Diceros bicornis minor: one gene and its partner. The protein of the gene in region 2 binds, or shares a complex with, the protein of the main gene of each other region. Links are inferred from orthologs where the notes say so. Each region holds a gene or a part of one and is shown on either strand. Other genes may lie near its edges.

Region 1 (15,302 bases), on a different chromosome or scaffold from region 2:
TAATAACTTCATTTCTTTGCTAACTCAAGGCAGACCTCATAATCGGTCAAAACCACCCAAGCAATCCTGGAATAGCTAGTTTAATGCAGTGTCACCAGATAACTCCTGTAAAACTAAGGTTGGCTTTGTGGTCATTAATGCAATTTGGCCTGAACTGGTTTCCTAATCCAATTATTACACAAATCAGAAATGTAAAACTTCTTCACTCTATTTTTTCTACTAAACTTTACAGTTTCTACTAAACTTCTAGTGAACAAATTGTTAGGTACAAAAACAGGATTTACGCAATTCATCCTCCCCCAAATCGTTTCCTGCATTCTTCTAATTTAATGGATTGCTTTGTGCACAGGTTCTTTCGAACTCTGCTTCCCCAGGAGTCCACCAGTCCTTTAGGTAAACTGACTCAATTCTCCCACTACTTCCCCCCATTGAATTTAAATTCATGAACTACCATAACGCCAAATGTTCCTTAAAACAGTATGCACTAACTCAGACAATTGTAAACAGAAATGTAAAGCCAAATTAAAATTGCATGGTCATAAAATGAGTCAGAATGTGTTCATAATTATTTTTTAACACTACTATTTACTTGAAAATTTTCCCATAGAATTTTCAGACTCCCAGGAGGTCTGAGCACCCAAATAGAGAAGGGGATTTAGAACTTTAAGAAGCTTATTGATGAAAGCAGCTGGGATGATAACATCATCAATTAGCCTGATAGTTCAACTCTCGTTTAGAGCTGAGTAGCCTTACAATTAGGAGCAACTATTCAGTTCTTTTTTTTTCTTCTCCTACTCTCCCACTTAGACCATTCCCCCATCAAACAATGGTATTTTGAAAATTTTGACAAAGAATTTGGCTTTAAATCAGCAATTCCACATCTCGAAATCTAACTTAAAGAGATACTTGGTTCAGAATACAAAGATGTAAGTACAAGAACACTTGAACTTGCAGTATGACACTGCAAACTTCCTAAGTGTTCATTACCAGGTAATTGGTTAAATAAATTATCCAAGCAATGTAATACTTTGCTCAATAAATGTTAGCTAGTCATACAAATTCTACTGATGGCTAATGAAAAAGATGAACAGCCTAGGAGAAAAAAATAGTGAATGAACAGACAGTTTCAAGAAAAAAACTACAAATGGCCAATGAACATTTTTAAAATATCTCAACTTCATTCATAATAAAGTAAACGCAAATCAGAACAAGATAACAATATTAATTTATTTGATTGGCAACAACTAAAAAGTTTGATAACCAATGCTTGTGGAATTTTAGGAAACAAACACTCTCAAACACTTTTGTTGGAATGTTATTTAGTGCAACCTTTCTAGATAACTTGGTAATTTCTATCACTGTGTAAAATACATACACCCTTTAACCCAGTCCCCAATGCCTAAGATTTTCTCTGTGGATATGATGTCAAGACTTGTTAAGTAAAAAGATGTTCTTGTAACATTATTGGTAATAGTAAAATCAAAACCACACATTAAACAAACAAGCAAAAGCCTAGCAACAATCAAAATATCCATGATAGGGAACAATTTAAATAAATCGTGGCACACCCTAACAAGTGACTTTTTTATGTAGCTGATGAAAGATATATTTCCCCTGCAGTCAGGGAATGATCCCCAAAATATATTAAATGAAAAAAGCAAAGTAACTGTGTACAGGGTGATCTTTTTTGTGTTCAGGGTGATCTTTTTTGTGTTAAAAACAGACAAAAGTAAATAAATTTTTTTAAAAAGAACTAACTCAATAAAAAAAGAGAGAGAGAGAGAGAGATGGGGGCCAGCCCAGTGGCATACTGGTTAAGGTCACGTGCTGTGCTTTGGCAGCCCAGGGTTCACAGGTTCAGATCCTAGGCATGGACCTACCCACCACTCATCAAGCCATGCTGTGGCAGGTGTCCCACATATAAAAAAGTAGAGGAAGATGGGCATGGATGTTAGCTCAGGGCTAATCTTACTCACCAAAAAAAAAAAAAAAAAAAGAGAGAGAGATAGAAAGATAGAAATAAGTAAATCTAAGTAATTTTGTATGTTTTGAAGGATTCACAAGAAACTAATAAGGCATTTAGCCTTGGCTAGATGAACTAGGAAAGGGAGGGTGGCTCTCGACTTCGACTTTTTATTTTGTAACTTTTTGTAGCATGACTTTTCTAATCTCATAGATGTGTTTCTTTTAATTTTATAAACTGTTTAGTGTAGGATATCAGGGAGGGGAGAATATGATACACTTGTTTGTTTGCTTCTTTGTGCTTTTCTAAAAAATAAGAAGAGCAAATGTCAATTTTTAAAATACTATTATGAGCCAATAAAATGAATAATGTAGATCTATATTATCTTACACAGAAAACTGTAAGGACATATTGTTTTAATTTAAAAAAACCAATTGCAATACAATGTGCCTGGTATGATTCTATTTATGTAAAATTGTATGCTGCACCTGTGGGTACTGACCACTCAGAGATGTCTGGAAAGATGTTATCAAAGTGTGATGTGGTTACACATTCGCCTTTGTAACCATTCTAAAATTTTTATAAAGACTTTGAAAGCTACTTGATATCTCAGCAAACTAGAACCTGAGATGGAAATGGGGAAAGGATAAGAAAATTATTTAAATAAAGTTAAATACACTGAGAGGCTGCCTACTAAAGCAGCTCAGTGGAAAAGCTAAGAGTGAACCGAAACTGGGAGACTGTACCTGGAATCCAGCAGTGGGGACAGAGTGTTCCCTAGGGCAGAGGAGAAACCTGAGCTGGCTAGCTTTAGCATAAACAAACGCGGGTCTGCAGGCACTGACCCTGCCATATAATGAAAGAAAGAAAAATGAAAGAAAAAAACCTTTTAAAGATGTATATCCACCAAAAAAAATCCCCATTAATAAGTGGGAAGCCCTCTTGCTTAGAACATTTTTACAGCAAATGATGGTTTCAAATCTCCATACTGAAGCTCTTTGGATAAAACTAAAAATATACACCCTTTTGATAAGCATATATGAATATAGATAAACACACAGAAAAGCTCTAGAGAAGTAAACGCGAAGCACTGAAGAGGGGTAATTGGAATCAGGATGGAGGAGGTGGTCAAAGGAGCCTTTAACCTTGCCTATAATTTTTAATTTTTTAATAAAAGGAAAATATTCACTTTTTTTGTTGTGGTAAAATATACACAAAATTTACCACTATAACCATTTTTAAATATACAGTTCAGCGGCATTAGGACAATCACAATATTGTGCAACCATCACTACTATTTCCAGAACTTTTTATCATCCCAAACAAAAACTCTATACCCATTAAATAACTCCCCATTCTCCCTTCCCCCAACCCCTGATAATCTCTATTCTATTTTCTGTCTCTATGAATTTGTCTACTCTAGGTACCTCACATAAGTAGAATCATACAATATTTGTCCTTTTGTGACTGGCTTATTTCATTGAGCATAATGTCTTCGTTTCATCCATGTTGTAGCTTATGTCATAATTTCCATCCTTCTTAAGGCTGAATAGAATTCCACTGTGTGGATATATCCCATCTTGTTTATCCATATACCTGCTGATGAACACCTGGATTATTTCCACCTTTTGGCTATCATGAATAATGCTGCTATGAAGATTTGTGGATAGGGCCGGCGCCATGGCTTAGCGGTTAAGTGTGCGCGCTCCGCTGCTGGCGGCCCAGGTTCGGATCCTGGGCGTGCACTGACGCACGGCTTCTCCGGCCATGCTGAGGCCGCGTCCCACATACAGCAACTAGAAGGATGTGCAGCTATGACATACAACTCTCTACTGGGGCTTTGGAGGAAATAAATAAATAAATAAATAAAATTATAAAAAAAAAAAAAAAAAAGATTTGTGGATAAATATCTGTTTGAGTCCCTGCTTTCAGAGCTTTGGGGCAAATATCTAGGACTAGAATCATTGGATCATATGGTAATGTCTAACTTTTTGAGGAACTGCCAAACTGTTCTCCACAGAAGCTGTACCATTCTATATCCCCACCAGCAATGCACAAGAGTTCCAATTTATCCACATTCTCACCAAAACTTTTCTGTTTTTTTTTAAATAGCCATCCTAATGAGCATGAAATGGCATCTCACTGTGGTTTTAATTTGCATCTCCACATATTTTTATGTATACATTTTTAATTAAAAATTATTTTTAAAAAAGAAAGTAAGGGATTAGGATTTGTTTTCTTCATTCACAAACTAGGAATACCTCCTTCACTGCTAAGATCTGTGAGGACAGAGACCACAGTTGTCTTACTCACTGTTTCATCCCCAGCCCCTAACAAAGTGCCTGGCACCTAGTAGGTACTCAGTAAATACAGTATTCATTGGATGAATAAATGACTGCATTAGCCTCTCAGTTTACATGGAATTAATGTATGATTTGAGGGGAATAAATCTATGAGGAAATGTCATCTTGAAAAATACACACACAAATATTATTCAGCCAAAGAAAAGAAGAAAATCCTACCATTTGCAACAACATGGATGGACTTTGAAGGCATCATGCTAAGTGAAATAATGCAGACAGAGAAAGAGAAATACTGTATAATCTCACTTATATGTGGAGTATAAAAACTTCGAACTCATAGAAACAGAAAATAGAATAGTCGTTACCAGGGTCTAGGCAGTCGGGGAAATGTCATGATGTTGGTCAAATGGCACAAACTAGCAATTATAAGATAAATAAGTTCCAGGGATCTAATATACAGCGTGATGTCTATAGTTAATAATGCTGTAGTGTAAACTTGAAAGTTGCTGTGAGAGCAGAGCTTTACTGTTCTCGCCATAACAACAACAAAATGGTAACTACGTGAGGTAAAAGACCTTATTGTGATAAACATTTCGCAATACGTACTTGTATCAAAACATCACATTGTATACCTTAGACTTACACAATATTATATGTTAATTATATCTCAATAAATCCGGAAAAAAATTAAGACAAGTCACCCAGAAAAAACGAAAAGAAAAATACACACACATACTAATTTCTGAAAAAGACACCATCATTTTGGAAGTCTTGGGTAAACAGCATATTTCAAAACAGATCCAGGACAGGCAAGAAAACAAAATCAAGACTACTTACTGTTTTACGAAAAGCAACTTCAGGGCCAGTATTCATCCATCTGGGCTGCCAAATAAGGACAAGGTACATTTCAAGTGTACTCATATTACACAACCAGGACCCTGGTTTCCTGAGTTTCAGGCAGGATGGCTGATGAGAAAGATATATACAGTCAGAACACTGTTATATTCCTAAAGTCATATCACTATTTTTATGATTGAAAGTCAGTTACTAATATTAATCACTTTATCATAAATTCTGCAAAAGTAGATATTTGAATTTCTTTCCAATTCATTCATATATCCATGGATGAACATTACTTACTGTAGATGGCCACCATCCATTACCTCTCCCCAGCTGAAGAAGATGGGGGCCATTCAACTTGTTCCCTCATTCCCTTCCTACAAGTTTAAAGTGCAGCAAACTTTCTTCTCCTCACTCCGCAAGCTGAGAACTTGTCTGAAAGTCACCAAACCGTTGACCTGGACAAGCCCCTGATGCCCCTGGGGGCGAAGGAAGGAAGGAGAGAGATAATTGGTGCTGAGAGAGAGGCACCAAGACGGGAGCTGCCTCCCTTCGCTTCTTCCTTGAATCATGCGTGTAAATTCTTCATGTGTGAGTCTACTGGAGAGTACAGAAGGTGGCTGAGGCTTAAGGCTCTTGCTAGCACTCCCCAAGAAGACCCTCCAGACAAGGATCCCCAACAACAAAAGGCTATATTTTAGATTGCCCCTGGCAAGGACTGGTGGGGATGTCTGAGAAGGGGGTTGAGACTGACCTCTCCTAGGTTAGGGAATGCACAAGGGAAGCCCCAGAGAGCAATAATGTGCCCAGTCCAAATAAAAGAGCTGGCATCTGGACTCCTGACACATTGGGAGAACTGTTAGTGAAGTAACAACAACCAGCAGAAAAAGAATAGACAACTTTTCATGGACAGTCTTGCAGAGAACATTCTTTCTCCCTCCTCTTCATCCCTACTTGGGAGGAGCAAGAGCCAAGAAGAGAGAAGGAAAACGACATTACCACCTCCTCCACTAAGCTGTTGCAGCCACAAGTCCTCCTGCACCAGCAGAACAGGAAGAGCTATGAATTAAACATGAGATTAAAGATTAGAACCGGCCAGCCTAAATCAAAATACTTGGAATGAGACTGTATTAGATACTGAAAGTGACTGCACAGTTATGCGACCAGAGTAGGAGATTCTTAAGGGAATCTGCTATCCAGAGAGCAAGAGGATTTCTAGAGTGGGTGGTAATAGTTGTTGGGGAAAAAATTAAATTGTTTTATATTTATATCTCAAAAGTTAAGACTTCTCAAACTGGTTATATACTTATCATAATTTATAATTATTTACTAGTTTTTTGTCTTCCCCATAAATTATAAGCACCATGGATCAGAGACCACGTCCATGTTGTTCACTATTGTGTCCCTTGAGTACAGCATATGTGCTCAACAACACTTTGTTGAATGAAGATTTCTTATCTTTTAAAGACACAAACTGAAATGTCTACAGAATAAACAATTTGATGTCTGCGATTTACTTTAAAATAATTCAGGAAGGTGAGGGTGAGAGAGTAGGCGGAAACATAAGTAGAACAAGATTGATAATTCTTCAAGCTGGATGATAGGTACACAAGGTTCATTATAATCTTTTTTAACTTTTTAAAATCAAGGTAAAATCATAATTAATTTTCTTAATTTTAAATTTTTTCTCAACGTAATATGAAAACATTCAAATATACATAAAAGTTAAAAATGAACACCCATATAACTACCATGCAGATTTGACAATGTTAGCATTTTGTTATATTTGCTTTACCTGTATGTATCCATCTATACATTTATCCATCTTATTTTTTATTTATTTTTGCTTGAGGAATATTGTCCCTGAGCTAACACCTGTGCCAATCTTCCTCTATTTTGTATGTGGGATGCCATCACAGCATGGCTTGATGAGTGGTATGTAGGTGTGCACCTGGGATCCAAACCTATGAACCCCAGGCCACTGAAGTGGAGCACACAAACTTAACCACTACACGACTGGGCCCGCTGCTATCCATCTTATTTCTGATGCATTTCAAAGTAACTTGCAGACATCAGTACACTTCACACCTTAACACTACAGCATGCATATCATAGAGTTCAAAATTTTTTCCATTTCTTTTTTTTAAGGTAAAATTTACTTACAGTGAAATGTTATACTTATATGTTACATATATAAATACGTTATAAATATACATATATGTGTTACATATATAAATATAATCTTTATATAATCTACAAAAATACATATATATTCATATTTAGAAGTTTATAGTGTGAAATGTTTGCATGCCGCCAAAATTCACATATTGAAGTTCTAACCCCCAGTGTTATGGTATTTGGAGATGGGGCCTTTGGGAGGTAATTAAGGTTGGATTAGAACTTGAGGATGGGGCCTTCATGATGGGACTAGGGGCCTTATAAGAAGAAGAGATTTATCTCTCTCACCCACTGGGGAAAGGCCATGTGAGGAAGTAATGAGAAATCTGCAACCCAAGGAGAGAGTCTTCACCAGGAACCGAACTGACCAGCACCTTGATCTTGGACTTCCCAGCCTCCAGAACTGTGAGAAAATGAATTTCTGTTGTTTAAGCCATTAGTCCACGGTATTCTGTAATGGCAGCCTGCACAGACTAAGTGGTATTAGGAAGGCACTGAAGGGGGCTTGATTACATACTTTCTTAAAGATAACTTTGGCTGAGGGTGGAGGAAGAAATGAAAGAGGACAAGAATAGGTTCAGGAAGACTGGCTAGGAAGCTACTACAGTAGACTGGGCCAGAGGTGATCTTAACTTGCCTAGAATCATAACAGCAGAGGCCAAAAGAAGTGAATGAATACAAGAAATATTTAGGAGGTAAAATAGGACTTATTGATGAGAAAAAGGTAGACATCAAGCATAATGCTCAGATTTCTCACTTGAGCAATTGCTGGCTATTGGTAACACCACTCACTGACACAGAGAACACAGAAGGAAAAGCAGGCTTTTTTAGGGGGGAAGTGGGGAGTAAGTTCAATTTGAGACATATTCAATTGGAGATGCTTCTGAGATTCAATAGACATTTGGATATATACATCTGGAGCTTTGAGGACAGGGCTGGGCTGGAGATAAATCTGTGGGAGATATCAGCATAAAAATTATCATTAAAGCCATGGGAACAGTTGAGATTATGTAGGGAGAAATGTGTGACCTATGTCAGAACTCTGAGGAACATCAAGATCTAAGGAGTGGGTAGGGGAGCAGGAGTCAGCTAAGGAGACTGAAAAGAAGTGGTAAGAGAGGTGCAGTCACAGAAGCCCAGAGAAAACAGTGTTTCAAGAAGCAGGGAGTTCAATAAACTAAATGTTTAATGGCACTTAGTGAAGACAACTTAATGAATCCTTTCACAAGGATGATTTCAGCCATTCGACCAGAACATCTGAAATCTATTGGCCCTATACTCCCTGTCCACCAGACCAGTGCTTTCCAATGTGTGGTCCCTAGATTAGCAGCATCAACATCACCTGGGAACTTGCTAGAAATGCAAATTTTGGGGACCCACTTCATAACTACTGAATCTGAAACTCTGGGTTGGGGCCCAGCAATCTGTGTTTTAAACAAGTCTCTTGGGTCATTCTGATGCTCACTAAAGTTTGAGAATCACTGCACTAGACACTGCTAGATAGCACCTGATAACTATTCCTTTAGGAACCAATCCCCCTTCTAATAAACACATTTTCCTTTGGATCTGTTAAAACATTTCACCAAGTTGCTGGAGCCTGAGCAGCAGGATTTTGTCAATACCCCACATTTGTTGTAACACAGATCCTATCTTGATTTTAATGTTCCTGCCCCACAACCAACCACCTACCACTTCTCCCTCTACTGAGTATATCTTTTTTCATCTTTTTAACTTTGCTCATTCATAACATCTAATTATTCACGGAGTCTGCTACCTCATGGATTCTCTCCTGCATTTTTCAGTTTCTGCTACCAACTGAACAAGTCTCTAAATCTCACAGTTTAAATTCCTCAGTGACACAGATCGTTGGTGAAACTGTAAATTGGTACAACTTACGACAGCAATTTGGTATCATTTATCGAAACAACAACAGAAACATTGCCTTTGACCCAGTAATTCCACTTCTAGGAGTTTATCCTACAGACGTACTTGCACATGTGCACAAAGAAGCCGGGCCTCTCTCCCCCAACTCGGCCAGAGGCCAGGACACCTACCTTCAGTCAGTCAAGGGCAGGGGCACCCACCCTCAGTCAGTCGGGGTCCCCTCTACCCCGTCAGTCAGAGGCCAGGCCATCCGCCCTCAGTCAGCCGGGGTCCCCTCTACCCCGTCAGTCAGAGGTCTGGGCCTCTCTACCTCGTCAGTAGGAGGCCAGGTCCCCCACCCTCAAGGGCCCCTCTCTCCCAGCTCAGTCAGAGAGACCTGTTGACACCTCGCTTCACACTTCAGTCAGTCGGAAGCAGATGCGGAAGCCCTTGAGGCCTCAGCGTCTGGCACTCCCGCCCCCAACACGGCCCAAGCCGGCTCCAACTTGATTCTCTCTCTCATTTTTCCTCCTCGGGAAAGGAAGACGGGTACCACCGCCAAGCACGTGACCGGGACCCTGACCCTCCCGCCGCCCGCAGCCCGCCGTAGGCCGCCGGGGGGCGGAGCTCGGGAGAGGGCGGGGCCGGGGGCGGGGCCGGGGGGGATGGCCCCGGTTGTCGCCGCCGCCGCAGCCTCAGCAGTAGGAACCGAAGTCGCCGCCGTCGCCGCCGCCTGGGTCGCCGGCCGCCCGCGCGCTGGCTCGGCCGGGGCCCGCAGTCATGGAGGACTTCATCGTGATCTCGGACGACAGCGGCTCCGAGAGCTCCGGGGCGGCCCGCTCGGTCCGGCCGCGGAGGCTCCGCCGGGCCCTGTCCCGGACCCCCGGCGCGCTGCCCCGCCGGACGGTGGTGAGTGAGCGAGCCGCCGTCCGCCGAGCCCCGCCGCGGCCAGAGCGCCGCCTCCGCTCGGCCCGCTGCCCCGGCGCCCCCGCCGCCCGCCCCCTGGCACCTCACAGCTGCAGCCGCTTCCCGCCTTGCCGCCTTCCCGGCCTCCCCGCCCGGAGGAGCGCGGCGGGCCCGGGCTGGGCGGCCAGGCCTCCGGGCTCCGCGCTCAAGGCCGAGCGGGCTGCGGCTGGAGAGCGGCGGCGAGCACATGGAAGCGCCCGGTGCGGGGGTGCCGGAGCCCCCGGCAGGCGGCAGTCTCAGGCCGGAGCCTTGGTGGGGGCGGGGGCTGGGGGTCCGGGACAGCGGGTCCTCGGGGAGCCCCAGACCTCGAGGCAGGGACGCAGGAACGTGTAATTGTTTGGCTTGTGGTGGGTACACGTGTGTGCAGGGAGGTAACAGGAGTCCGGGCTAGGAGGGAGGGCAGCAGGGCCTGGGCCAGATGGTGGCCGCGCTCCAGGGCCTGGCGGCCGAGCGAGGGGCTGGATTTCGGAGTTGTGCAGGAGGCTGATTTATTTCGCTTAGCAAACACTTACCAAGCTCTAAAGGAATAGGGAGGGAAACATCTTGCACCATTTCTTTTTCCCTTAGGTTCTTTAAGTCTTTGTCCTTCTTCCTGAGGTAGTGAATAAAACATCTATGGTTCCTGCCTTTCTAGAATCCTCCATAGATATTTATTGAATCTCTACTGTGAGCCAGATGTTCTAGGAGGCAGGGGAGGTACAATGGAGAACACAACCCCCGTGGTCCCTGTCATAGAAGGTGATATATCCAACAAGTGGCTATTGAGTACTCAGGGGGCGGGAGGCGGGTGAGAGTCTCTCAGAAGACTCTCAACATCAGACTTCCAACAATCTTCCCAGCCCGCCAGAGCCACACCCCAGAAATAAAAGAATTATCACCCTGATGTTATTTGTATAGCTCTGTAATGCACAGTTTAAGGAAAACACCTTTCTTCATATGCAAATCCTCCTTCAAGACAAATCTCCTCGCTTCTGCTCCTCCAATCCCCTTCCCAGCCGGTTTGTAGTCCCTAAGCCCCCTCTGTGATCCCCTTCTGTGTCTCAGGTGTAGTGCTAAATGCTAGGTGGTCACTATAGAATGAATGGCATGCAAAACCAATTAACCTATAGTGCCCTGTTACCATGGTTCAAGCAAGAGAGATTCTCAATAAATCTGAGTAAACAATTTAGATGAGATGGACACGTGGACAAGGTAGAAGTGACCCAACTTGGCAAGTGAATGGATGTACCCAGTGCTGCGGCAGTGTGGGGGATGTAGTAGAGCCACAATAAATATTTGTTGGATGAAAGAATGGTTGAAGGAATGGGAGAGAGAGCAGTTCGGGTGGATGTTTGGTAATTGAGAGTGAGTACTACTAGAGGAGAGCAGGCTTGAGGTTGAGGGGATGCTGCATTCAGTTTGGACCTACTGGATTTAAAGTGCTAATGGGAAATGTATGTGGATGTGTCCAGCCCAAAGAAATTGATCTCTGGAGAAAAGTCAGGACTGGAGAGATTTGGTAATCATCCAAATAGAAAGGAGCGTCTAAGGCCTAATGGTGGCTGAGATCATCAGGGAAGAGTATAGAGAGGAAAAAGGTGGAAGGAAAAAATACTGCAGAATAACTCAACTGCCTTTCCTCCTGATTCCTCCTCTTTCCTATTGCCCATTCTTTTAGTCCCTCTTTAACTTCATCCTTCCTACTGGCTTCCTTTCTTCCTAGGTCTTGTCCATCTTCCCTCATCCTGGTCCAGCTTCCTTCTTCAGATGCACAGATATCATCCTTAACCCAGTCTGTTGTGTCTGTTGTGGTCCGTCACGCACACACGGGTGCACTCTCAAACTGCTCCCCTCCTCTATGACCACCCAACCAAGCATTTTGATCTTGAGCTTTTTCAAGTTGAAGAGAAATGAGGGGCAAGTTCCAGAGAGTAGTACCCAAGGTAAATCTTGCTTTTCCAGATACTTACTCCAGTTTTCTAAAAACTCCAGGCTTGTTCTTTTATTTTTCTTGCAAATTAGATAATGGTGGTAGGATAACCATGTAAATGATCAGAGGCATTAAGAGACTTGCATGGTTATAAAGCCTAAAGCACTTTAGTCTATCCTTTCCTGAAGGCCCTGAGGTCAGCGAGACCTCTGTTCAAATCAGGACACCCCCCCCCCCCCCATAGCAGCTGTGTGAACTTTAGCAAGTTCTGTCACCCCTCTCAGCTTTTGCACTTGAGAACAGTAATACCTATCTGGCAGGACCAGGTTTTTAATGAGGCAATGCAAGGAAAATGCCCAGCATAAATGATAGCTTTCGTTAGACTTTGTGTTGTTTCTCAGCCAGGCCTGACCTTCTTCAGCTTGGCAAGCAATGAAATAAAAGAAACAAGTTTTAGATTTTTTTTTTTTCTTTTTTACAAATATTGGCTCTAAAGGGGAGACAACTTGCTTGAATTCAGGAAATCAGAAAGCCATCTCCAATACTGTAGTTGACATTTCTGAATTCCTGGTTCTTAATCTGGGCTTTAGTCTTCATTAAGTTGATGAAGTGTGTCTTTGTTTTCGATAATCTTTATTGCTTTTTCTTTTCCACTTATTAAAGCGAAACATGTTCAGATAGTCAATTAATTTTGGTTGTGCTATTAGAAAAAATTTAGAAATGTATAAAGAAGAAAATTAAAATTGTCCTTAATCTCACTAGCCCAAGATAACCAATGTTAACTTTTTTGGGGGAGAGTGAGGAAGATTAGCCCTGAGCTAACATCTGTTGCCAATCCTCCTCTTTTTGCTGAGGAGGATTGGCCCTGGGCTAATATCCATGCCCATCTTCTTCCACTTTATATGTGGGACGCCTGCCACAGCATAAGCCGTGTGCAGGCCTGCGCCCGGAATCCGAACCCACGAACCCCAGGCCGCCAAAGCAGAATGCGAGAACCCAACCACTACGCGCCACCGGGCCAGCCCCGATGTTAACATTTTGATGTATGTCTGTCTAACTTTTATCTGTAAATGCATGTGTGCTTGCGTACATACCCATGTGTCCCCGCATACATGTTTTTGGAAAAATGAAGTCTTGCTATATATGTGGTTTTTTTAGCTTGCTTTTTTCTTGTAATGTGCTTTTTATCTCTTTCCACTAATCGTATCGTATTTCCACTAATAAATACGTCTTCACCAATATTTTTAATGTATTTTATTGTACAGATGTATAATTATGTTATAATCTCCTATTAATGGATATCATGCTGGTGTTTCTAAATTTTCTCTGTTATAGACAACCTAGTGAGGAATTCTCTTATAAATAATCTTTGTAGCCTTGTTCATTTGTTTGTTTAGGATAAGTTCCTCTTAGAAGTGAGATTGCTGAGTCGAAAGGTATGCCCCCCTTTAAGGGCTTTTGATATGTGTTGCCAAATTTCCTACAGAAGTTGTGCATCAATTATATTTTCACCATATCCCTTTCTCCACTACCTAGTCACCTCTAGATATCATCAATTTATTTTGTAAATATTTATTGAACACTTACTATATGCCAAGTACTCTTGTAGGTGCCGAGAATACAGCTGTGAACAAAACCAAGTCCCTGCGCTCATGGAGATTTCATTTTAGCTGGGGAGAAGCAAACAGTAAACAATCACATAAACGTATTGTCAGGTGATATACAGAGTGTTAGGAAGAAAAATAAGGCATTTTTATTCTTTGAATCTTTACTGATTTGATAGCCATATTCTATGAGCTGTCATGTTTGAATTTTTTTCTTTGGTTGTGATTCATTTTTTCAATAAATACTATTGAGCACATGCTCTGACCCTGGGGACTAGAGGTAAACAAGATAACAATGGACCTACATTCTAGTGAGGAAAGACAAGCAATAAACAAATAAGTGAACAATATAACATGGATGAGGTTGGGAACATTAGATTGTGTTTTCAAAGAAGGCCTCTTGGAAGAGTTAACATTTAGTCTGAGACCCAAATGACAGAACAGATTTGTTACGAGAAGATCTAGGGGAATAAGGTAGCAGCAAAGGGTGCAGCAAAAACAAAGACTTGGAAGTGAGTTTGGGCATGACTTATTGGAAGAATCAAAAAGCAGATGGGTCTGGAATGGAATGAGTGAAGGACAGAGTTGGAAGAGATGAGAAGTGGGTGGGCTAGGTAATATAGGACCTTGCAGACCACATAAGGAATTTGGATTTTATTCTGTGTAATAAGAAATCTTTGAAGGGTTTTAAGCAGGGGAATGATGTGATCTGATTTATGTTTTTGAAAGGTGACTAGCTACTGTGAGAAGAAAAGACTGTAAGGTAAGGTGACAATATAATTGATCATCCAAATGGGAATCCTTTTGTGTATGAAAGGGGGTGCTAACTGGAGAAATTGTCAAGCAACAAGTGAAAACTGGAACTGTCCTAAACCAGAAATATAGTCACCTTACTGTAAGGGGACAAAATTGGAATCAGGGAGATCAGTCTAGAATGTCGCTACAGTAGTCCAGACCAGAGATAATTGTAGCTTAGACTAGAGTAGTGGTGCAGGCTAGGAGACTGGAGGGATGTGGGAGATATTTAGGAAGTAAAATCAACAGGTGAGAGAAAGGGAGGAATCAAGAATGGTGCCCTGGTTTTGGCCTGAGTGACTGGATGCATGTTGGTGTCATTCATTGAAATGAAGAAGACTTGGGGAAGAACAGAGTTGGAGGAAAGACTCAAGAGTTCTGTTTTGAAGGTGTTAAATTTAAGATGCCTGTGGGATAGCTAACTGGAGATGCCAGGTATGATATTTGTGCTGAGTTTGGAGGCCAGGGGCAAAGTCCTGAATAGGGACACAAATTTGGTGTCATTAGCACATAGGTTGTAGTAAACTCATTGACGTGGATGAGATCATCTAACATGAGAGTCTACAAGAGGAAGAACATCCAGCACCCAGCCCGGGTGAAGGCAAGGGGAGGAGGAGCAGCTAGTAAGGTTGGAGGTCAAAGTGTGCTCAGCATGTAGTACAGCCAGACATCTTGCACATGTTTATTGGGGAGATCTGTATATTGTGTGTGTGTGTGTGAATTGCCTGTTCTTGTCCTATTGGGGTGTTATTTTTCTTACTAGTTTGTAAATTTTACTTACATATTAAAGAGTCTTTATGGGTTGAATTGGGTCCTCCAAAAAGATATGTTGAAGTCCTAACCCCCAGTACAGAATGTGACCTTATTTGGCACTAGGGTCA
Region 2 (15,017 bases):
TTGTAACGGACAAATAAAATTTGGCATGTGAACTGCATATATAAATAAAATGTACAAAAATAAATGTATATGTAAAAATAAATGTATATGTAAAAATCAATGTATACAAAAATAAATGTTATAAAAATAAAAATAAAATATCTTTAAAAAACGTATACAAAATAATCCGATAAATTCTTTATGACTAGATACACATGTATGTAAAAAATGAGGAATCTGAGGCATGGAGAACGTGTGGACTTGAAAAGCACAATAGTAGGGGGAGGCAAATTGAACTGGGGTGTCAGTTAAAAAGGACTTAGCCACTGCTGTAATGTTTTATTATAAAAACAAAAAGACCAGAAAAGAGGAGAAGTAACTGGACAAAATGTTAACAGCTGTGAGTTTGGAGTGGTGAATATGTGTTTGTAATATTATTATTTGTATTTGTCTATATCTTTTACATTTCTAAAAAGAATGAAATATGGGTGTGCGTGCATGTATTTTTAAGAGAGAATAAAGGAAACACACCAATTAGAATGGCTAAATTTTTTAAATAATAAAAATATTAATTTCTAGCAAAATGTGGAGCAACAGGAACTCTCATTCATTTCTGGTGGGAATACAAAATGGTAGAGCCAATTTGAAAGTTAGTTTGGTCGTTTCTTACAAAGCAAAACAGTCTTACCATATAATCCAGCAATTGCACTTAAAGATATTTACCCAACTGACTTAAAAATTTATGCCCACACAAAAAACTCCACATGAATGTTTTCAGCAGCTTTATTCAGAATTGTCCCAAACTAGAAGGAACTAATATGTTCTTCAGTAGGTGAATGGATAAACTGTAGTGAATCTATACAATGGAATACTATTTAGTAATAAAAAGGAATGAGCTATGTGTTTTTAAAAAAGAGAGAGAGAGAAGAAAGGATACAAGTGATATTTAGGGTATAAAATCACTAAGATTTGGTGACTGATAACAGGTGGATGCTGAGGGTGACAGAGGGGTGGGGTTAGTAGGACTCCCAGGTTTCTGGCTCGGGTGACAGGTGAGGGGAGATGATGACACCATTCACTGAGATAAGAAGTATAGGAGGAGAGAGCATCAAATTCAGAGGTTAGGGGGGGAAGATAACAAGTTATGTTTAAGACGCATTGAGTTTGAGAACCTAACAGATGTTTGTATTACCAAATCCTTTGTCAGGTAACATAACTTAATGGCTGCTACAGTGCCCACAAGTAGGAACCAGGTAGAGGTGTCAGTGATGAGGTCCTTTGGAAGGGAGATGAAGGAGAAATGAGCAAAGGCTAACAGAAATACCAGAGGCTATCTGGCAAGGTCTTCATTGAAAACAATTACTCTAACAGTGTAACTTTTCATCTAAAACCATTGGTCCTTTTATTTTAAGATAGATAGATAGATACAGAGATATATGTTTCTTTGGAAAAGTAATATATGAACGTGGTAAAAATATAAATTTCACAAATAGGGGAAAACTTCTCTCCAGAGGCAACCACTGTTATGAGCTGCTTTACCTATGATCAAGCCAGACACTTATAAGGACCAATGGCCAATGTCTGTCAAAAATATAAAATGTGGGGCTGGCCTAGTGGTGTAGTGGTTAAGTTCATGCATTCCGCTTTGGCAGCCCAGGGTTCGTAAGTTCAGATCCCAGATGTGGACCTACCCACCGCTCATCGAGCCATGCTGTGGCTGCGTCCCACATATAAAATAGAGGAAGATTGGCACAGATGTTAGTTCAGGGACAATCTTCCTCAAGCAAAAAGAGAAAGATTGGCAACAGATGTTAGCTCAGGGCCCATCTTCCTCACCAAAAAAATAATATATATATATATATACACTAAATTTATTCATATATATTTATATATACATATGAAATGTACATGTTCTTTGACCCAGGATTCCCTTCCCAATATATCTTTGAGATGTACTTCTATGTTCACAAAGATGGATATATAAAGGTATTCATTGCAGCACTGTCAGCAGCATAAGAATGAAAGGGAACTAACTATTCCAGCAATAGGGACTACTTAAGTAAATTATGGCGCATCCCTACAGTAGAATACTATGCTGCAGTTAGAAGTCACTTGGAAAGCACAGCATCCTTCCAGAGATAGTCTTGGCATATACACGCACATAACCCCTTTTATTTATACAAACAATAACAATATATGTATACATTGTAGCATATACTGTTCTGCAACTTAATTTTTTCATTTACTATATCTTAGAGATTATTCCATACCAGTTTATATTGTTAACACGTGTCAAGAGTTCAGCTACACTAACATTGCTGCCTCGGCATCTATTTTTTGTGTGGCTAAGCAGCCTGCAGGGGCCTTGACCTGACACTAGCCCTCCCAAGTGCATGCCTAGATAACAACTTGCAGAGTCACAAGTAAATGTAACTTTCTGATATAACTCCTGGAACAGCCCTTGTGGTCAACAGTCTCACCCTGCCTGCCAGGGCCTTTTTCTTGTGCACTCCTTAATAAGACCCCTGCAGAGCTTACCAAAACCTGGCTCTTTTTGGTTTGAATTGATGAAGCTTTAGTCCAGTTACCCTGAAGCACTCCATCCATGGACCCTAGTAAAGCCATGTGCCCCAGGTCCTGCAGCTATCTCTCTGCCTGCACCCTGCCTTGAACTCCCCATGTGGCCCCTCAAGGCATACCATGTACTTTCTCCAGGACCTGTGAGTAATAAACTTCTCTATTTCAATTTCCCTTGTGGTCTTTTGTTGACCGTGGGCTCACCACCCAACATCCCACGGCTCTACTTAACAAATGTTAATTTAACGAAGTCACAGTAACAAGTAACAATAGCTAAACCATATACTTATTATATGCCAGTCACTGTTCTAAGAGCTTTACTTGTATTAACTTATTTAAAACTCACAAAAATTTATGAGGCAGGTACTATCATCATCTCCTTTTACAGATGAGGACAGTAGCACAGAGAGGTTAGGTAACTTGCCCAAGGTCACAAATCTGCTAAATGGCAGAGCTGGAATCTGAACCCAGGCAGTAGGACCCTAGGGCCTGCACATTTAACCACAACACATCCTGTATATCTAACTCAGACTTCCTAACTGCAGTATTGTATGGATGTGACATAATTTATTAACTAGTCCTCTATTGCTGGACTAGTTAGTTCCCTTTCAGTCTTTTGCTACTGACAGTGCTGCAATGAATACCGTTATAGATCTGTCTCTGTACATTAGAAGGGGAATTGCTGGATCAAAGGATATGCACATTTTATATTTTTGATACATACCAGCATTTGGTCCTTTTCAATGCCCATAGATCTTTTTTTTTTTTTTTCTTTCTGCTGGGAAAGATTCGCCCTGAGCTAACATCTGTTGCCAATCTTCTTCTCTTTCTTTTTCCCCCCAAAGCCCCCGTACATAGTTGTATATTCCAGTTGTAAGTCCTTCTATTCTCCTACGTGAGCCACCACCACAGCATGGCTACTGACAGACAAGTGGTGTGGTTCTACACCCCAGAACAAAACCCAGGCCACCAAAGTGGAGTGCACTGAACTTGAACCACTGGGCCATCAGGGCTGGATTGTTAAATGCCCGCAGGTCTTGATCAGCAATTTCTTTCACTAAGAACGCCTGAGTGAGAATCCTGCCTACTCCCTGTAACACTCCTCTGAACACCAAAAGCACTCATTCTTTGCAATTCTTTTGGTTCCAAGAGACATTCCCTTTAAGAGAGCATAATCTCACAGAAGTATAGAAACAAATGTGAGGGTACATAACAAAACATCTAGGCAGCTCAACTAGGAGGCTGCAGGTTCCTCCTGCAGGTCTGTGTCGTGTTCCCCCCAACCACTCCTGGGGTTTGACGCTGAAAGAAGGGAGGAAACACTGGGCCTACACTCCCACATAGAAACTATGGCCTGGAGATGCTGTCCCCATTTAATGGGGAATGTGCCCTCCGGTTCTCCCACAGTCCACCTCTCTGCTCACTGAGGCTGAGTTCCAGGTACCATTTATCATCATTCTTGTGTAAACTGAGCAAACACCACCATTTCCTAATTTGTAGGAATGTGGTGAAGATTAAATGGTTCAGTGATCATAAAGTGCTCAGAACAGTGCCTGACCCTGGTAAGACCCAATAGGTATTTGCCATCATTGTCATTGTTGTTGTTAAGAAATATTTCTCTGATCTCAACTCTCCGTAAAAGATAGGGAAATGGACCTGATTCACATACCTTTATTATCTACCTAGGCCCTGTTGGCATGAGCATGAGACCCCTCTTGGGATGTCTTGAGGCCAGAAATCTAGAATTGTGTGTGAAATCTCTTGATTTTCAAATGTTGCCCCACATCTTTAAAAAACTCTTTGGGAACTAAAAGAAACACATCTTCAGCAGGCCGTCTTATCATGCCTCACATAGAGGTTCAGTATTTTGGTGTTGTGGAAATTTACAGCTTAAGGGTAGTGGTGGTAGGAAATGACTCTGAAGAATCAGGTCAGAGCCCAGTGAAGAAAGGACGTATGGGTCATGATAGGTGTGTTGAATTCTGGGAAGAGTATTGCAAATGTCTGAGATTAAATGTATTATTCCCAGCAGACTCTCTCCAGTTCCAGGGTAGTGGGGTTTTATGTGAGGGGCAGGTTGGACAAGAGATATAAGATCTTTATCCTTTTTTGCATCATTCTCCCCTCTCTCTCATTTCTCACTCACAGTCCCTACATTACTGAGGACAGGGCAGGACCTGACAGGGCCACCGCAACTACTCTTCCCCATCTAGAAGCAATTATAGCATGGGAGGGGTAAAGGCAAGCTTCTTTGGAGAAACAGTCTGCCTCCTTCTACAAGTCTCTCCCACTCCTGGAGGGTATGGCATTAAAAGAGCATAAGGAGAGCCTGAGTTATGTCTCTCCCACCCTCCCCACCAGTAGGAGTGACCAAAGGAAGCCCATCTCTTTTGCCCCAAACAGCTTCTGCTGTTTAATGCCACTGATACACAGAAGTGTGAAATATGAATACAGATTACAGCAACGACTTTCAAATGTTTCGACTACTGCCTCTGACAGAGGCCACAGAATATATCTACATATATATACATCACAGTATATGTACATCACTACCGTATAAAATATATATACAACTGAAGAAGTAAGTTTTGCAAAACAACACATACCCATATACTATGTGCAGTACACCAATATTGTCTATTCTATTCTTTTTTTTTTTTTCCAATGTGGTCTGTGGCCCATTATACCAATTTTAAAACCCTCTAATAGGTTGCTAACCATGTGTAAAAAACACCTGATTACAGGCTGGAGTCCCTAAAACCAATATTTCCCAAAGAGTCTCTTATATTTCAGATGTACGAGTAATATCTATCCCTACCACCACTAGTAAACAAGATGACTCTAGAAGAAATGTGGCAATATTTTTTTTCTAGTTATTATTAGTTTCTACACACCTTCCATTTGGCAAGTTATCACTTTCCAAGTGATACTGATTTTCCACTTACGGAAATGATTTTAAGTTTTCATCTAAAAATGTATTTAAGTTTAAAAAGTGATTTAAAGAAAAATATTAAGTAAATAATAGTATAGGAAATATTCAGGTATGTCAAAAATCATAAATACATTAGTCATGTTCTAAAGTGTGGGAAACATTATCTTGCACCATTCCATAATGAAATAACAAGAAACTTACTTTCCTTTAACATCAGATCTGCTTTTGCAGTTTTACTAATTACTCCCAGGAAGTTTAGGTTACATAACATTACTTTATGTTACACTTGGCTTTCCCCCAGCAACCCCTTAAAACCAAGCCAGTGCGTTTTCCAAGCACTTGTAGGGCAGTTTTGAGTTCGGCATCCATTTGCAAAGTAATTTGTGCAGACCTTGAGACTCTGGAGCTTGCCTTCCCTTCTTAACATCATCACGTGGTCCGTCTTTCTCTGTTAGGCTTTCAAGTTAATTATTTCCTGTTTCTCTGAGTCTATTCCTTATCCCCCTTCCCAGGTGACCCTCTACCCTCCCCTCCACACACACACTCTTGGCCAAAGGCAGGCTGCTCTGCAGCAAACCCATCTTTGTCTCCCCCCCGCCCTAGAGCACCCTCCAACAAAAGCCTTGGAGTTTATAGCAATCACAGAGCAAAAGTGCGTCATTACTGCAGAATCAGAAGTTACTTTTAGAGTTCCCTGCATTTTAGTAACATTCTTTGTAACTTATTAATCTTTTGTTCTCTTAGTCCCTGCCTGCTAAGGTACTCTGCCAGACAATCTGCCCAAGTTGTTTTCTCTCTTGGTGACTGCTTGCGATCTCTGGCATCAGTTATACCGCCACTCCTCTCAGGACTCCCACGGTGGCCTTGAGGCTCCCAGCAAACCTGATCTGTCCTTCACGTAACATTGTTTCCGCTGCTGCTGCATCCCTTCCCATCAAGGCTAGAGTTGGCGCTCCTATTGTCTTTAACAACTCAGGGTGCTAAACTAGGTACTATGGTACTACCCCATAGTAGCTTCATGCATAGAAGCCACTCCATCTCAGTGGTCTTTGCTTCCTGCTCCCCAGGCCCAGAAATCTTCTCAAACTAGCCTTTTCTGGTCATCTGACCTTAATTTCTCCAAATTATTTTTCCAATCCTGGCTGAAGTTTTTGTCTTGTCTCTAATTCAGTCTTGTCTACTTTATCCATCATCCTCTCCTTCTAGCCCCACCCCAGTTTTTCTCTCCGCTCGTCTCCCCACGTGCAAATACCTGAGCTCTTTAACATCTTTCACCTAGTGTACAGCTTCCTGGCCATCTATTTCTGGCCCACTAAAAATTAACGTGTAAAAAGCTCTTACATTAACCATGTGTGTGTGTATGTGTGTGTGGTGCACATATATATATACACACACATTCAAAGTGGGAAAAGGGGTATAAACACAAAATAGACTGTCCAACACTCTGGGGGGAAAAGCCTTAGAGGCTCCCCGCAATTCTGGTTAGTATGTTGAGCATATTTTACCATGCAACCCAAATCTGTATCATTTTCAAACGCAGCTTAAACAAAGAAGAGCCTTGATACTGAGGATTTAGATAACTACTTCCCTGTTAAGAAGAGATTTTTAAAATTGTGTTTTCATTATGCCTCCATCTCCATTTATTGATCAAGGGATTTCTTGCCTCACTTAACTCCATAATCTGTTGCTCAGATTAAGAAAATGTGAAAACCATTGTTTGGCAGCATGACTACAGACTTTAAAGTGGTATCTTGGATGCTGGATGATTCAAATACTATAATCCAAGAAAAGCAACTAATTGATCATGCGGAACATGTTTTTATGCATTACTCTTTTTTATGGACTGAGCATGCAATGAAACGAATCAGATTAAATGTTTTGTAGATGTGCTGTTATAGAAGCAGGAATTTACTAGTGTGGAAACATCCAGCAGAAAGCTCTAATACAAGAGATAGGAAATAATATATGTAAAAAGCCCTTAATAAACAAACGTTTAAGTTATTATTTATTCAACACATTTTGAGCATCTATTACGGTCTATGTAAGGAACAATGGTAGATACAGTAACTTCTCAGTTATTAGGAACAGAAAATACCTCTTATTTTAGTATTTCCTTTCTCGCATCACTACTACCCAGGATATAGCTGTGCATATATGCTTTTTGGATGAATGAGAGACCTGTATGTTCACTGTTTACCTTCTACCCTCCACTTTGCCACCTTGTTGGCCATTTTATTCCTCATTAATTCTTCCTCCTGAGGGCTAAAAGGGAAGGAAAGGAGGTAAACTTCAGGTCAGTCAGGCATGCTTAGCTACGGAAGCAGTTAAATCTCAGTACAATAAACTTTAAAGACCTGTCTAAATTCTTTTGTGTCATTTAAGATTTTGTTCCATCCAACTGATTGAACAGGCCTGCCAATTAAAGCTTGGACATCCATGAGATTGATATTTTGGTTAATAGTTACTATAACAGTATCTGACCTGTCTCTGGAAGACCTTGCAGTAAGTTCAAGTGTAAGAGTCTGTCTAAAGAACTAAGAAAAGGGAACACTAATTTGCTCAGTACTTATTACACAAGAGACTCTGAACTGTGCAGTTTACATTGCTTAACTCTTTTATGGTTTACAATTACCCAGAAAAGTAGAATACCCATTTTATAGATGTGGAAACTGAGGCTCAGAGATACTCTGATCAGTCTTTGTAAGGAAAACCCTGGCTAACAGCCTCCAGAGCACAACCCCTTTACAAAGGAAGATTGGAGACTGCTGTTGGCTTTCACTAGTCTATGTGGTCCACACTTATACATGAGCAATTGAAAGCTGACCCTATGTTCCTTTCAAAAATCTCCAAGGAATCTGGCTGCAGAGACTTCATGGATAACTTGTTTCAGCAGCTGAGAAACAAAATGCTTTTGTGGAATCAAAACAGTCTTTATTTCAAGGGTTTTTTTGGGTTTTTTTTCCTTCTAAAAAGAGAAAAAGAATCCACTGCAGCACTTAACAAGAAATCTCACAGAATGGACAAGTCTTCAAATTGGGCCGTGCAGACCACCGAGGAAATGGTGACAGCATTAGGGCACTTCGGCCTAAGATGTTAAGGACACGATGTAATGAACAGCTGGGGATTTCTGAGGCACGATTGTGTGACACAGGAAGCCCAACTGTTGGCCATCCTCGCTGAGGGCAGCTGCTGGGTTCGGGTTTGCTTCTGCAAACCTCGCCCCTTGCCCTTGACCAGGCGGGTGTCGCCAGCTGCCGCAGCGCCCACGGCAACCCGCGCCTTCCCGCCCTCGCGCACCGGCCAAGACAGAGGCGGCCAGGACGCGGCGGCGCGCGGCCCCCAGCGCACGTGACGGGAGGGCAGTTTTCCTTCCTCCCTCCCCCTTCCCGAAACCCCGCCTTCCCCTGAAAGGCTGCGGCTTTCTATTGCTCCACTACTGGAATGACCGCCACGCCAGCCAATCAGAACAGACTCTTCTAGCAAGACCCGCCCCCTGTTGGTCCTCGGGTTCCTTCCCGCTCACACAGGAGTCATTTCCGAAGAGAGGGAACCGCCATGAAGAGAGAAGGGGGTGCCGCCCACCTCTGCTCCGACAGCCTCCCCGAGTCCCAGCAGCAAGACGGCAACCACGCACCCAACTTCTCCAGCCACAGCTCATGCCGCCGTCGCCAGCGGCGCCGACATGACAAGGCGCTGCATGTCCGCTAGGCCAGGTTTCCCCTCATCCCCAGCCCCGGGGTCGTCGCCCCCGCGCTGCCATCTGAGACCCGGTAGTACCGCCCCTGCTGCAGCGGGAAAGAGAACAGAGAGTCCTGGGGACAGGTACCGTGCAGAGGGCTTGAGGAGGGGCCGGGTCGCGGGGGCAAGGGTATGAGGGAGGACTGCGGACGGCCGCTTTTCCAGTTCCCGCCATCCTCTGCGAGCTCGGGCCTCGGCGTTCCGGGCCTGGCAAACCCCTGCCCCGCCTCCGCGCGGGGGCTTCTGGGAGTTCGAGTTTCCTTCTCGTAGTTGGGACGCTGTTCTCGGTCTAATGACCACAGCCGGGACGGCTACCGAGAACTGCCTTAGGTAGAACGTGGTTCTTGTCCCGGGCGATAGCTGGACCGGGGGCCCTAACTGCTGAATGCATATTTAGGTGGTTTTCTGTACGTTGTCAGTTGTACTGAGCCTAGTGGTTGAATAATAGAAACCTTTTTTGTATTATGGGTGAAATTACATAAGAGGTGATGAGGAAAACCCTTCTACGAATTACTGTATAGTCCACTATACACGGTACGCATAGTTAAAAGAACATGCAGATTTGGAATGTGGTATGTTTTCTCCTTCGGTAACTTGACGCCTCTCCGAGAGGCCAGTTTTTTTTGTACAGATTTTGCGGGAGCTATGTAATGAGATGGGGAGTTTCATCAAATGACATCCTCTGACAATAAAACATGTTTAAATTCTCTATGCACTTGGTACTGTCTTTTTTATTTTAAGTTTAAAACTTTGTAACATAAGTTTAAGACTAAATTTATCTTCTAATATTGTGGTTCAGGTCCGCAGTCCCTTATCTTAATTCTGAAAGCCAGAAAGCTATGAAAACCAAAAGTTTTCAGTAAGTTTGGCACCACATCTTACCTGGCAGCCAAACCTGACTAGAACTAATGGAAGACTGTATATGGTCTTTATCCCATTAAGTGTCAGTGCTCATAAGTTTTGCTTACGGGGTGCAGTGTTAGACCCCACTGGGGATTTTACATAATGCATCTAAGAAACCCCCATTCCAAAATCCAGTAAATTCAGAATTCTAAAACACATTTGGCCCCAAAAGTTTCAGATAAGGGTTTATGAGCTGTTACAAATAATTTTTTTAACTAGTTACAAATATAAGTAATGTACATTTCTGTACATATGAACTTAGGGAACTGTTCCTTCTTGAAAGTTACATTCATGCTTATTTTACAGATTTCTTGTATGTTTTATCCAAAACCATTTTTTCCTCTGCTGTATTAATGGAAAAGGAGCCTGGGATCTAATATTTTAGGAGAGAGATAGTGTTACTTTTAGTAATTAATGTAAAAAATAGTATTATCTTGTGTGGAATTAATTAGCTGCTGCTTAATCCTCTCCTATCTCACCTTCCTCAACCAATAACTGAAGGGCATCATCCTTCTCCCCTTTGCAGAACCTCTAGCGTTTCCTCATTTACTCTCTCATGGAGTTAATTTGATATAATTTATTTTCTGAAAACAAAGCATAGATTCTTCCTTAGCCTGTCACTCCTATTCATTTCATAACCACTTAGCTTTTCTAACAACATCTCAAACAAACGTTGTGGACTCTGAGTAAACCATCCGAGATGGGCGTTGCTCTTCTAATGTTACCAGTAGAGTGTACAAAATGTGGAAGGGACTTCAACCTTCAAGGGACTTCGATTGTTCTTTTCTCTGAGTGTTTCGTGGTGGGTAAATGTTTAGGGAACCTCATAGTCTACCGTTTATTGTCTTTCAGTAAAAGGAATACTAGCAAAATTTGCCCGAAAGTTAATTTTTTGCTCTACATGTAATAACATCCCTCTTTATGCATCTGAAAAATTAAATACATGAACAAATCAGAATACAAACTCTGGTAATATGGTCCTATTGCACTTTGTGTCCACTGTAGGGTGCAGAAAGCCTTGAAAATTAAAAGAATTTGGTTTTTGTTCTTGTTAACTTTCTTCTTTTTCTCTTTGTTTTCCCCAGGCAATGCATTATTTTTGTAAATATCTTAAGAATTCTTAGGTAAAAAGTTAAGATTTTGAAACACTGCTTATTTAGTTGTGAAGACTCATTCCAATTTCTGCTGTTACTTGGATTAACATCTCACTGTAGTGTATAAAGAGGGTAGTATAAGCTTAGTACTTGATCCTTTCTGCGTTTTGCCCAGCACACTCTTCAGCTGCCTCCCCAAAACCGGCCAAATCACTCGTATTGCCATTCTACCATCTAATCTTGTTATGAGTTTGCAGCAAACATCTATTGAGCATTATTTTGTACCAGTCACTGGAGATATGAAGGAATAGGATCAGATCCCCTCAATATCTTTTATTCTACTGTGTGACCGCAAGCTTTTCAGTCCTATGAAGCACTCTCCCACTTCCCTGGATCCATACTCCTATCTTATCATTTTAGTACTATAGATTATATAAACCTCAGTTGTTCTTTTATAAATTTACTCCTACAATGAATTATATTTTCAATTTTTTATAATCAGCTTAGCAAAGCATTATTGCCATTGTCAGAACTTGATTAAACCAGATAGTGAAATCCAGCCTATAGTCTATAAATCTACTAGTATTCTCCACTTAATCTGAAATAAGGTTTTAATATTTGCGTATGTGATACCCTATTAGTTATGCTTTTATTTTCAGGAAGCAGTCAATTATAGATTTCTTCAAACCAGCCTCAAAACAAGGTATGGATACTACTAATGCATTTTTTGTGGCATCTTTTGGGGAGGGAGATGGATTCAGTTTTTAAATCTACTCTAAATTCTTATTAATTTGATTAAACGTGTTGAAAATTGAAAATACAGTGAAGATGCAGTGTTTTTTACAAGGATAAACAAGTTCTAAACATCATGAAGAAACTCTTTGCTGTTATGCTTTCTTATATTTATTATTCCAGTCAATAATGTTCATAATGCATACTATTTTGATCCTCTAATACAATAACTTCATAAATGGAGCCATGGGGAGCTTACATGATGTAGCAAAAGGGAGCTTTATGAAAGTAAGGCTATTAACAAATAAACCATGTCTTAATTTCTCCCCCCCATAAAATGTATCATTTAAATATTGATTTGAAAATTTTTGTGATAGTATTTTAAATATTAATAATTGCAATATTTATACACAATGTAATAGTTTGTGTTATTTTTAATAACATGCAGTTTGTATGTGTTTTAATTGGCTCCTTAGACCGACATATGTTGGATTCTCCACAAAGATCAAGTATCAAATATGGAGGAAGTGGATTGTCCACCACTGGAACAGAGCAGTTTGAAAGGAAACTATCTTCACCGAAAGAATCTAAACCCAAAAGGATGCCATCAGAAAAGAGCCCTATTTTAGAGGCTTTCATGAAAGGTGTTAAAGAGCACCACAAAGATCGTGGTATACATGAGTCACATCGGCTTTATGTGTCACTAGCCACCAAATACCCAAAGACGGTCTTTGTTCCTCCTTCCTATCGCTCATCAAAAGAGATGAAGGCACTAAAGAAAAAACATCGCTCTCCAGAGAGAAGGAAGTCACTGATCATTCATGAAAATAGCAGGGAGAAGAATGATAGAGATCGAGGCAAGAACAATGCAGATTCCAAAAAGCAGGCCACGGTGACAGAAGCTGACATCTTCAAGAACAGCTCCAGAAGTCTTAGCAGCAGGGGCAGCCTATCCAGGCACCACCCAGGAGAAAGCCCACTGGGAGCTAAGTTCCAGTGGTCACTAGCTTGTTACTGCAAAGAAAGAGAACTAAAGAAGTTGAGAAGGGAGCAAATGGAGCAGAGAATCAACTCAGAAAATTCTCTCTCAGAAGCAAGCAATCTTTCCTTAAAATCCTCTAGTATAGGAAGAAAATGTAAACCTCGGCAGGAACAAAGTAAACAGAATGATGTCACACCCGGAAAGAGTAATCTTTCAAACCTGGTAAGTGCAGTAATTACTGAATTAGTTTGGGTACTGCTTTATCATATTTAAAATACTAAATGTAAAAATATTTAATAATTGGTGACATCATATTAGTATCTTTTGTTAAGGAAATACTGATACATAGTTTGTGTAGAAGCTGGTTTCATTAGGTTTCTTCCAGCTGTCCATGGAACTCAGTAAAGCAGTATTTCCTGCCCTTGATTTTTTCAGACCAAGAACAAAGATCTTTCGTAAACAGGAAAGTAAGCATTCTTTTTTTAAGACAGGTATAGTCATTTTTTTAATTGGGCTGTGCTGAAGGGAGATACTTGAGAAATGGAAAATCTAAAACAGCAGGAAATGGTTTAGCACAGAGGTTCTCAAAATGTGGTCCCTGGACTAGCAACGTCAACATCACCTGGGAACTTGTTAGAAATGCGGATTCTCAGGCTCCAGCCCAGACCCACTGAACCAGAAACTGTGGAAGTAGAGTCTAGCAATCTGCAATTAACAAGCCTTCCAGATGATTCTGATGCACTTTAAAGTTTGAGAATCAGTGGTTTAGATTATATATAAATCTTAAATAATTGAATATGGGTCTTAGAAAACTCAGAAGATGACTTAGAAAACCATCCAAGTACATCTTAACAACATCAGATTTCTCTTTTGAGAATAGACCAAACTTAAGTTAGCATAAAAGCTGTTCCTCTCTCCTGGAAAGTCAAGTTGTTAACTACGTCTGTTTCAAAGAGTTCTATATACAGAGCAAATAAAGGAAGATCAGATATCAAGAAAGTGCTATTTTGATAAGATGCCATGAGATTTTAAAACCAGATAGCCAAAAATAGACCAAACTATGATGTTCTAGGAGTGAATGGAGATTGTTGCATTGTATATTGCTGGAAAATATATTTGTAAACTCTAGAGTTCATTTGCAAGGAGTTTGGTGCCTTTAGCAGCAAGATTTACTAATGATCAATAGAGGTTAGTAATATTTGGTCCATTTTTGTAAGATCTCAGTATTTGGTGGTGCATTAGTACTTAAACAGAAGTATTGAAAAGTGAGTTGTATCCATTTGATTGGCAGATATTAGGCTTACTATTTCTTTATCAAAATAATAGTACGTTGCTCTAATATAATATTAATCTTGAATTATTAATATAAATCGCTTGCATTTATTGCCCTTCGTTTTTATGCTAAAACTTAAGAATTTAAAATATTTTGTTATAGGAGTTTGAATTTATCTTCAAATATAGGTACTTGCTTTATTCAGTCTAGAAATCTGTTTAAATGTTACGAAGAAAAGTTCACTTTTTTTACTGCCCCTAACTCCTAACTTATTTTTTCTCATTTTGCTAATATTTTTTCTCATTTTGCTAATAGGAAAATGGACATCTCTCAAGAAAAAGATCCTCTTCTGATTCATGGGAACCTGCTTCAGGTAGAATCAAAATTAAATTTATGAATTTTAAGATAAATTTACATCTTAATGGCTCTGTTTTTTAAAGCAAATTTGTTTAAATATGCAGTTTCCTTCCTAGCGGTGAATTGAGTATCTCAGATAGTAAAGAGTTTGGTAAAGTTATATTCAAAAGAAATAGTCCTTGCATTTATTATATGTAACCTGTGGTTTTTCTTGACTCTTCTCTGCCTTCTTCAAGAGTTCCTAACAATGTGTTTCTCATATTGGTAGTCATTGTTCTACTTCTGAATCCTTGGCTACATTAAGAAGCATAATCTTATATTCTTGAAATTGTGGACTAACTATCTGAGGTCTTGGAATTAGAGATGCTTTGTATAAGGTTGAAACATCATGATCCAAAACAGTGTCTCCTAATATTTCAAATACCAAGATCCCTTTTTAATATCAAATTT

The links.
Region 1: the proteins of SLF2 (region 2) and SIMC1 are in contact, whole or in part, in a cryo-EM structure (PDB 7T5P), measured with the Homo sapiens proteins. The link is inferred for Diceros bicornis minor from reciprocal best matches to the Homo sapiens genes SLF2 and SIMC1. Residues at the interface, in NP_060591.3 of Homo sapiens: His738, Val772, Leu775, Lys778, Asp783, Phe786, Gln790, Gly791, Phe792, Thr794, Ser795, Ala796, Tyr797, His798, Tyr799, Cys820, Ile821, Gln825, Ser828, Met831, Glu832, Ile835, Arg836, Asp838, Thr839, Ser841, Asp842, Ser843, Pro847, Lys919; in NP_001295125.1 of Homo sapiens: Tyr426, Arg428, Leu431, Lys435, Leu438, Pro440, Val442, His443, His444, Leu445, Phe447, Gln448, Arg470, Arg471, Phe490, Asp493, Pro497, Val521, Asp522, Lys525, Glu526, Tyr528, Met529, Met532, Lys533, Gln536, Leu537, Arg571, Asn658, Gln661.

The regions. Positions count from the first base shown.
Region 1 is NC_080740.1:89,503,300-89,518,601, forward strand, and holds the start of SIMC1 (SUMO-interacting motif-containing protein 1), read left to right. Parts: upstream 1-9,859; 5' UTR 9,860-9,927; coding exon 9,928-10,056; intron 10,057-15,302.
Region 2 is NC_080745.1:66,117,057-66,132,073, forward strand, and holds the start of SLF2 (SMC5-SMC6 complex localization factor protein 2), read left to right. Parts: upstream 1-9,034; 5' UTR 9,035-9,170; coding exon 9,171-9,310; intron 9,311-11,882; coding exon 11,883-11,926; intron 11,927-12,431; coding exon 12,432-13,159; intron 13,160-14,525; coding exon 14,526-14,583; intron 14,584-15,017. UniProt on the Homo sapiens protein: Plays a role in the DNA damage response (DDR) pathway by regulating postreplication repair of UV-damaged DNA and genomic stability maintenance.